Linked DNA regions of Danio rerio. The protein of the gene in region 2 purifies or fractionates together with the protein of the main gene of each other region. This does not show direct contact. Links are inferred from orthologs where the notes say so. Each region holds a gene or a part of one and is shown on either strand. Other genes may lie near its edges.

Evidence for each region.
Region 1: the proteins of map4k5 (region 2) and crkl purify together in Homo sapiens (affinity purification with western blotting; 3 studies listed by BioGRID and IntAct, with this or other methods). This does not show direct contact. The link is inferred for Danio rerio from reciprocal best matches to the Homo sapiens genes MAP4K5 and CRKL.

Annotation. Positions count from the first base shown.
Region 1 is NC_133196.1:20,315,867-20,320,136, reverse strand, and holds the start of crkl (crk-like protein), read right to left. Parts: upstream 2,880-4,270; 5' UTR 2,595-2,879; coding exon 2,284-2,594; intron 80-2,283; coding exon 1-79. UniProt on the Homo sapiens protein: May mediate the transduction of intracellular signals.
Region 2 is NC_133188.1:40,182,444-40,186,271, forward strand, and holds part of map4k5 (mitogen-activated protein kinase kinase kinase kinase 5), read right to left. Parts: intron 1,444-3,828; coding exon 1,364-1,443; intron 1,277-1,363; coding exon 1,216-1,276; intron 1,055-1,215; exon of another isoform or gene 796-1,054; coding exon 678-795; intron 1-677. UniProt on the Homo sapiens protein: May play a role in the response to environmental stress. Appears to act upstream of the JUN N-terminal pathway.

The DNA.
Region 1 (4,270 bases), on a different chromosome or scaffold from region 2:
CCGCACATACTCCTGGTTCTCATCACCCAGTCCTCCAGATGGCTGAATAGGACCACTGGGCAGAGCAGTACTGGGGTACCTGTAGAACAACAATCAAATCATATTTAGGATCGACTTATAAACTAGAAAAGCAGCATTTAAGAGCCCATCTAAAAGCAAACACTTTAATCAGCTTCTCGCTAGTGGAGGCCTTTTGTAATATTTAATCATCTACTCGATGTGCACTTTCACATGCAGAGTAACTTCCTGTTATCTTAAAGGGAAATAACTTAATTTTTCTTTACTGCACATCTCAAAAAGAACATTTTATAAAGAACCAGAACAAAATTGAGGGGAACTACAGATGTTTAATTCATTACTCTCATTGTAAGAGTAATACTAAACAGCCACCAAACCTATGGCAAGCAGTTTTAACAGTTATAGCTTACACTTAGTGAATCAATTTATGCTAATGATTAATTCTGGGCCGATAAACTGTATTATATCGAGTCGCGAAAATTTATATCAATGATAAGCTCTGAAATTTTTTACTTGATATTGACCTAATTACACAGCAGAAATGTGCAACAATGGGTATCTAAAAGTGTGTTGGTATTGGAGATGCACCCAATGTTCGGCCACCAAAAATTTATCGGCCAAACATATATTATGCCATTTAATGGTCCCTCTAATTTTTGTGACTTCAGTCATTGTTGGCATACACTTTTACATCTGGAAGCATTAACAACTTGCATCGAAATATGAGCAATTTCAGCATTATAGATATAACATTTACAAAAACTCAAAACATAAATTCACAGAAAAAAGTATATTTTAACAATCAAAAACAACTAACCACCAAGTTAAGGGATCTAAAAAATATCAATCTGTAAACATTTTTCATACTTTAAATGAGGAAAATAAACATGCGTTATGGATATGACCAAAAAAGTCTGCAAGTTACAGTATACAGCATACTTTGAAGAAATTATGTGAATTAAAACAGCAAAACTCAAATGAAATAATGCTAATTAAAAGGATGAGAGTTGGCTCTCTATAGAACAAAAAAAATCTTGATTTTATTTTACATTTTTGTATTTATTGAAAAAAAAAGTTAAGTTAGTTATGGATGTGACGTCTCTCTGCTATGGATGTGACGGATGTAAAATTGCTACTTGTGCGACTTTGATAAATTAAATATAATTGATTTTTCAGTCCAGTAAAATACAAGCCTACACACACACACACACACACACACACACACACACACACACACACACACAAAAAAAGAATTTAGCTATTTTGGTAAAAAACATAAAAAAAATTCATAGCAAGGTTGACATTTGCATGGAATTGCTCATATTGTCAATATGGAAAATAATTATTGAGATTGCATTTTTGCCAACTAATGATACTTTTTGTCTAGCAAGTAAGCCAAAACTAATCAATACTTTTACATTACTATCAACTTATAAAGACTTGCAGATGACGTCCATTTTTGACAGATGTACAAAGTTTCCAAATGATTCATTCATTACAATCATAAGTTGTAATATTTAGCAAAATAATATTTAATCATAACTAAGCCGAATCTCTGTCAAATTATCTCTGATAATACGTTTTAATTACAACATCAAAATATAAAAAATTCTGCTTTATAATTGAATTGGCTATACAAAAAAACATGATTTTAATGGACTAGTAGAGTCAAATTTTTAGAGGACAGTCACTAAGAAAATTATGCTAGTAACAAACTGCTGTCTTTCCAGTTTTACTAGTTGTAACTAGCAATATTTATCTTGTAACAACTTTTTTTTACTTGCCACTTTGTGAAAAAAAAATTATTATGATAGCTCAAAAATAACCTTACTAGCAGACCACAGTAGTCAGACCACAATAAAACCATGCAATGTGTTACTTATTAGCTAAAATATAAATGCCAGTGTCAAATTAAAAGTAAAACTGAAAGCATTTCCAGAAACATCCAAAAAGCTTCAACTTGCAAAGATTTGAAATTTAGTTTCCGTTGCAATTACAGGTTACTTACACAATACACTACTGGGTATTGGAGTATTGTTGCAACAGAAAACGTACAAAATAGATGAGTAATAACTGGTAACTAATGCAACTTAAAAATATAGTCTAGCAAGTAACGATGACAAAAATGAGTCAATAAAAACAGATCCTGGTTACTTCGAATGTTTAAACGGCTTGCCACAGAAGAGAAGGGGAGGGAAAAGAACATTATTGAGAAGAGGGGTGGATGATGTGACGATGTCAAAAGTAAATGAAAAAAACTCTTACCTTGGTGCTGGTTCTATCAGGGTGGTCGTATCCAAATAATGTATTTTATAGAACTCCAAAAGGCCGGGTAGATTATCAAACTCTTGATCGCCTATCTTGAATCTCTTGCTTGGCAAAGAGTTGATGATATAGTGCGAAACTTTGGAGTTTTCGGACACTGAAAGTACATAATCACCAGGACAAGTGGACGAATCTCGCACTAAAAACATCCCGTGTCTCTGTCCCTGTAGCCTATTCTGCGCCTCCTGTCTCGAAACCGGCCCGAAATACCAGCTGGCTCGGTCTGAGGAGTCGAACCGTGCAGACGACATGTTTATTCGAAATACACTTGTAACTGACGAACACGGGTGAAAAAAAGCAAAACGAGCAATAAATTAAAACAACAAATGCTTATTCTTACAAGCGACCTAGCACTTCTAGACCCGTCAGTCCTACTGAACCGCAACCTGACGTTTGACCAGACAGGCTGCGACTAGCGTCAACCAACTTTGATGCATTGCTAAATTTTCCACCAACACAAGATTCGCGGCGGTTTTAGGAGAGGTGTAAATAACCCCAAAAGTTCAGAGCGAGCTCAAATACACGTATTTGGAATCAAAGTTCCCCTTTCCGCTCTCTCTTCCGTGAAAGTAGCTGCAGCTTATGAGACAATATAACGCGTTAGCTGAGCTAGCCGTCTTCAGTCACCGTCCGCTCAAGAGGAGCCAAACAGCGCCATAATATGTTACTAAATCGCTCAGCATGACAATTCAAGCCGACGTACGTCAGTTGCTTCCAAAAACGAGTTCTTCTTTGCGTTCTGCCCCAAAGCACGAAAGAGTTGTGTCTCTAATTTTGACTCCAAGCAGACTTAGAGAGCTGTAACAAAAATGGCGGCCCGCAACACGTCTTCACAAACAACGAATTGTGAAAAATCTAGAAACATAAAGTTTCCCGCCTTGCACGGCGCTCTTTTTTCTGACGCGCGCGTCTTTCACGCTACAGTACGAGCGAGAAGACCTTTCTTAAAAATTCTGTTTTCTATGTCCTCCTTTCCTTCTCGGGATTGGTGTAAAGGCTGCTTCAGCTCCCCACACCGTCCGAGAAATGGCGTCTGGAGGGCGGATCTGCGCGCGCTCACGGTCTGTCTGATCGCCCGTCACGAACGCCCCGAGCGCCTGTTACTTAAAAGGAAGAATGAAATGAGTGGCGTTCAGAGGGGCTGCATTTCAAACTCTCTGAACCGCGATAATGAGACACACAGGGCACTGACAGAGCCTAGCGTGAGTAAAAGCTTTAAAGTGCTGTATTTTTGCTTACATTTTGGAAGGCAAGCTTGGATCACATCCTATCTGGATACCTGTTGTTTACACGGGGAGTTATATATATTAGCTTCACATGTTCAACTTTTTGATAAATTTATGATATGTTGGTGCCTAATGAATTTAAACATTTATCGGTGGAAGAAACTGAAGAAAATGTGCACAAGCCGAATTTACTTTTCTAAATCAGTAAAACATTAAAGTTAAATTGCATTTTTTTTGTGTAAATTCAGTTAATAATTGAGGGTATTCATTCTACATCTCATTTTACTCATTCTAGCTACACCAGAATGTATTTAGTTGCAGTATAACCTATAGACCTTTTTAAATATAGAATTAAAAAAAGACCACCAACAACTATAATGGCAAAGTATTAGGACAACAGCAGCCTGCGTTTAAACATTGTTTGTATAAGAAATCCTTTGTACCCATTTCAGTGGGTTTATTTAACAAGAGTTTATCTTAATTAGCATTGTAATATTAAAACTACTGTATTTTGCATTATTTTTATTGTTTGTTTTATGGAATGTCTGCAGCAATATGGTGATGACCATAACAAATTTCCTGTCAAGGACAATAAAGTTAACTTTACTACCACTTATGTATATGAATTATCTTGGTGGGATTGTGCCTTTACTTGAGTAATTTACAGTCCTGAATATGTTAACATTGATAATTGCATTCCT
Region 2 (3,828 bases):
TACATGTGTAAATACATAACAACAAAAGTTAATTGGCATTACTGAAATAGAACTGTAAGACAGATTGCTTTAGAACAGTGGTGTCAAACATACAGCCCACAGGCCGGATCAGGCCCACAAATGAGTTTAATCTGGCCTACGAGATGATTCTGCAAAGTATAAAAATAAGCTGCAATTTTTCAATAAAAGTAACTGCAGTTCCAATTGTGTCCACTGGACGGCGCATTTACAAACTGTTAATTTCATCCAATCCAGAAGCATCAGTTTGACAGCCTTCTCAGAGAGAAAGACCACATCTATGCTCTGCCATACCACACTGTGATGTTCTCACGAGGAAACATAACTATTTCACATTTTGTCAGTTTAGTGGCTAATTTGTACAAGTTTAGTCGTATGAAAATGTAAGATACAAAAAAGGAGGCATGGCACCCACACCCCTAAACCCAGCCGTCATTGGTGGATAAGCAAATCATACTAAAATAAAACAAAAATATTTTTTAAATCCAATCAAAATTAAGCATGTTTTGACCCTCATTTGTAAGTGCAGTATTAAACATTTTCTTCTAAATAGTTGTTTCTTGAAGAAATCTTACAACATTTATAGCATTTATTACTTTTATAATACTACTAAAATCCAAATAAACGAGTTGTAAAAAGTGTGTTGTGAGTGTGTGTACCTGGGCAGTATCTTGTCAGGGAATCTGTGGGTGTGAAACTGAGTGGCCAGTCCAGGTTTCCTGAGCTGTTCAAACAGTCCAATCAAATTATGCGAATACAACTGAAACGTCTTCCCTTTAAACGAGAGATAACACACATTACACGCACGGCAAATGACCACACACAGGACATCCTACACATTACACAACTTGTGACGCTTGTGCTGAAGAAAATGGGAAACAACAGTCATTACACCCTGCACGAAGACAAGCTCAGCTGTGTAGTTACGCAAGTTGAACCCAAATTAGAATCAGAGTAAGAATGTTGCCAGAAAGGTGATGTGATGTTAGCTGTGTGCATGTGTGCCGTACAGGACAGAGGGTTGCCTTTTTACCTTCTGATTATGGTGATTTAGGCATTAGCAGAGCCAGCAAAGCAGTAAAATCAACCGTGAACACAGAGAGACAGAGAGAAAGACAGAAGAGGACCATGAAGCAACCGTAGAGAATCTCATTAACAAAGACAGAAAGAAGAGCCTCTCCCGTTATTCTCACTCACCTGATAATGACATCAGATTATTATTGATTATGTACAGCCATGTGCACCGTCGAGGAAACAGCTAAAAAAGATCAATGTAGTAGGTTAAGAGTACTTTTGGTGCATTGATCTATTTGTGGTGGAGGGTAAACGTGAAAACAAATCATACCTGCTCCATGGTGGCTTCATGCAGCTCGTTCAGGTTGAGAGTGTAGATGCCATCTTCTGTGCCAAATATCAGATACTGGTCTAAAAAAAAAAAAAGTTGAATTTGAAATGATGCTTTGACATTTAATTTTACACCATTCATAAATCTGTGGTCAGTATAAGGCAATGTTCTCACTGCAAGTGCTCAAATCTGATTTTTTCTCAGATCTGATTTTTTTTTTTTTGCATAGCTGTTAACACTGTTGTTATAGACAGGGTTCATACACATTATTACTACTAAAATTACAAGACTTTTCTAGAACTTTCAAGTACATATTCATAACGTAATGTTTCATGTAATGTCTACACATACATGAAAAATAATAAGAAAAACAATGATGTTCAAATGTATTACAGCATATCATAGAACAAGCAACAATCTATTTTCTTTCAATTTGTTTTTATATCTATGTAAAACTTATTTTGATAATGCTTACACAGCACTAACAATGTGAGAGCAAGTTTTTGGCCAAGGACTGAAAATAAGTAAAGACAACTAACCTATAATTAAGTTAGGGCTGCATAATATATTGTTTCAGCATCGATATCGCAATGTGTGCATCCGCAATAGTCACATCGCAGGATATGCAATGTTGAGACTATAGTTTAATCATAATGGATTAAAAGTTTGTCATCTGCATGCATTTTTAAAGACATAGTTCATCCAAAATCTACTTACCATTTTCATTACACCCTTCCTTACAAGCATTTATGAGTTTTCTTTTTTTTAACGAACACAAAAAGAATATAATTTAATAACTCCTATAGTATTGAAACAAGTAAAGTGTAAGTAAATAGTGAGCACATTTTAATCTTTGAGTAAACTGTCCCTTTAAGGCCTGTGACTGTGTGAACATTTCAATATTTCAAGTTTTAAACCATCCGGCCACAAGACATTTTTTGTAACTTTGATAAAGATTAAATAATATACAATGAAGAATATGCAGTGTTGATTATTCAACATCTGTACCTGAATAGCGACTACCTGAAAACCATAATTCACTTTTATCTTTACTATATTTGATTGATCTATGTTTGTAATTTATTTGTTATTTATTATTCGAGATTCACTCCTCTACAAAATCCCCCCAATCAATCCAAATGAACCTGTTAAATCATCTGGCGAAATTGTATTCCCATCGCAATATACATCACAGAAATACAACATATTTTAATGTCAGATCTTTCCAATATCGTGCAGCCAAGTAAACAGATATTTGTTGAACTAATCTTCATGACTTTTCAAAAACTTTGTGGGTTTTTCTGCTTTTCCAAAACTTTTCACGGCCTGGAAAATGCCATGTCAAAATTCCATGACTTTTCCAGGTTTTCTATGATCGTATGAACCCTGTATAAATGTGACCAATATCAGATTTGAAGTGTGTACAGATCATGGTTCTAAACTGACCCGCATGCGCAAAAGTACAGTTAAAGACACCACAAAATGTCTAAATATGCACAGGATGTACTGAATAAAGCATGCTGTCAGATTATGCTTAATATGATCATTGCCCTTTTCACAGACAACCGAGGTTCATTTCATGAACTGTAAAGGGTTTTTCTGCAACTACTACTGTGTATTTCGGCGTTTGAATCCTAAAATAAGTCAATTGCGATAGAAAACACTGATCATTATGACATATGACAACCGCAGTGCACGTCTTTCTGACCACCAGTGTAGAGAACTCATTAAGGGTTAATGAGCAGCAGCAGACTGAACTGTGAAGGCAGAGTTGGTTTAACTCTGTTTGCAGAGTTATTTCATTTTACTTTGTTATAAACTACAGTTGCGTACAGAAAGGGGGTTTGGGTGCTTTTTTCTCTCTGAGAGAAAGTTCATCCTCAAAGGGCACCTAAGGTGAAAAATCTACTTTTCAAGCTGTCTGGACAGACATATGTGTAGATATAGTGTATAGACTGTCATATTGGGGTGATATAAACACACACAGTCCTTTTTTTCCATTTAACAAAATAAAAATGGTGGACCAATTGGAGCGGTTTTGAGCCCGACCGCAACTTGACATAGTAGTGCGGTCCCCCCTGCCCACCGAATTGATTGACAGCTGCGTATTAACATGTCTCCATAGTAACGAGTATAATCATATCAACAAGACAGGACGTGCGTAAAGCAACCGGGAATAAAAGGTCTCTTCAGTTTACTAGGATCATCAATCATCATCACATGTGATCGAGAATGAGTTTTACAAGGTTAGAATGTTTTAAAACAGTTTACGTGTGTAATGAAGTACAGCAAATTACTTCAGATTTACTTTATCACCACAGCCGCGTGTGAGTACAATTCTAAAAGAAGACGCTTAAATCCCGGATTGTGGACATTGAATCAGGTTAATTTTTCACATTAACATAAGCAGCCGAGGGAGGAGATTAAGGCACACTGACAGGCACATGGAAACGGTGGGTGTGAAG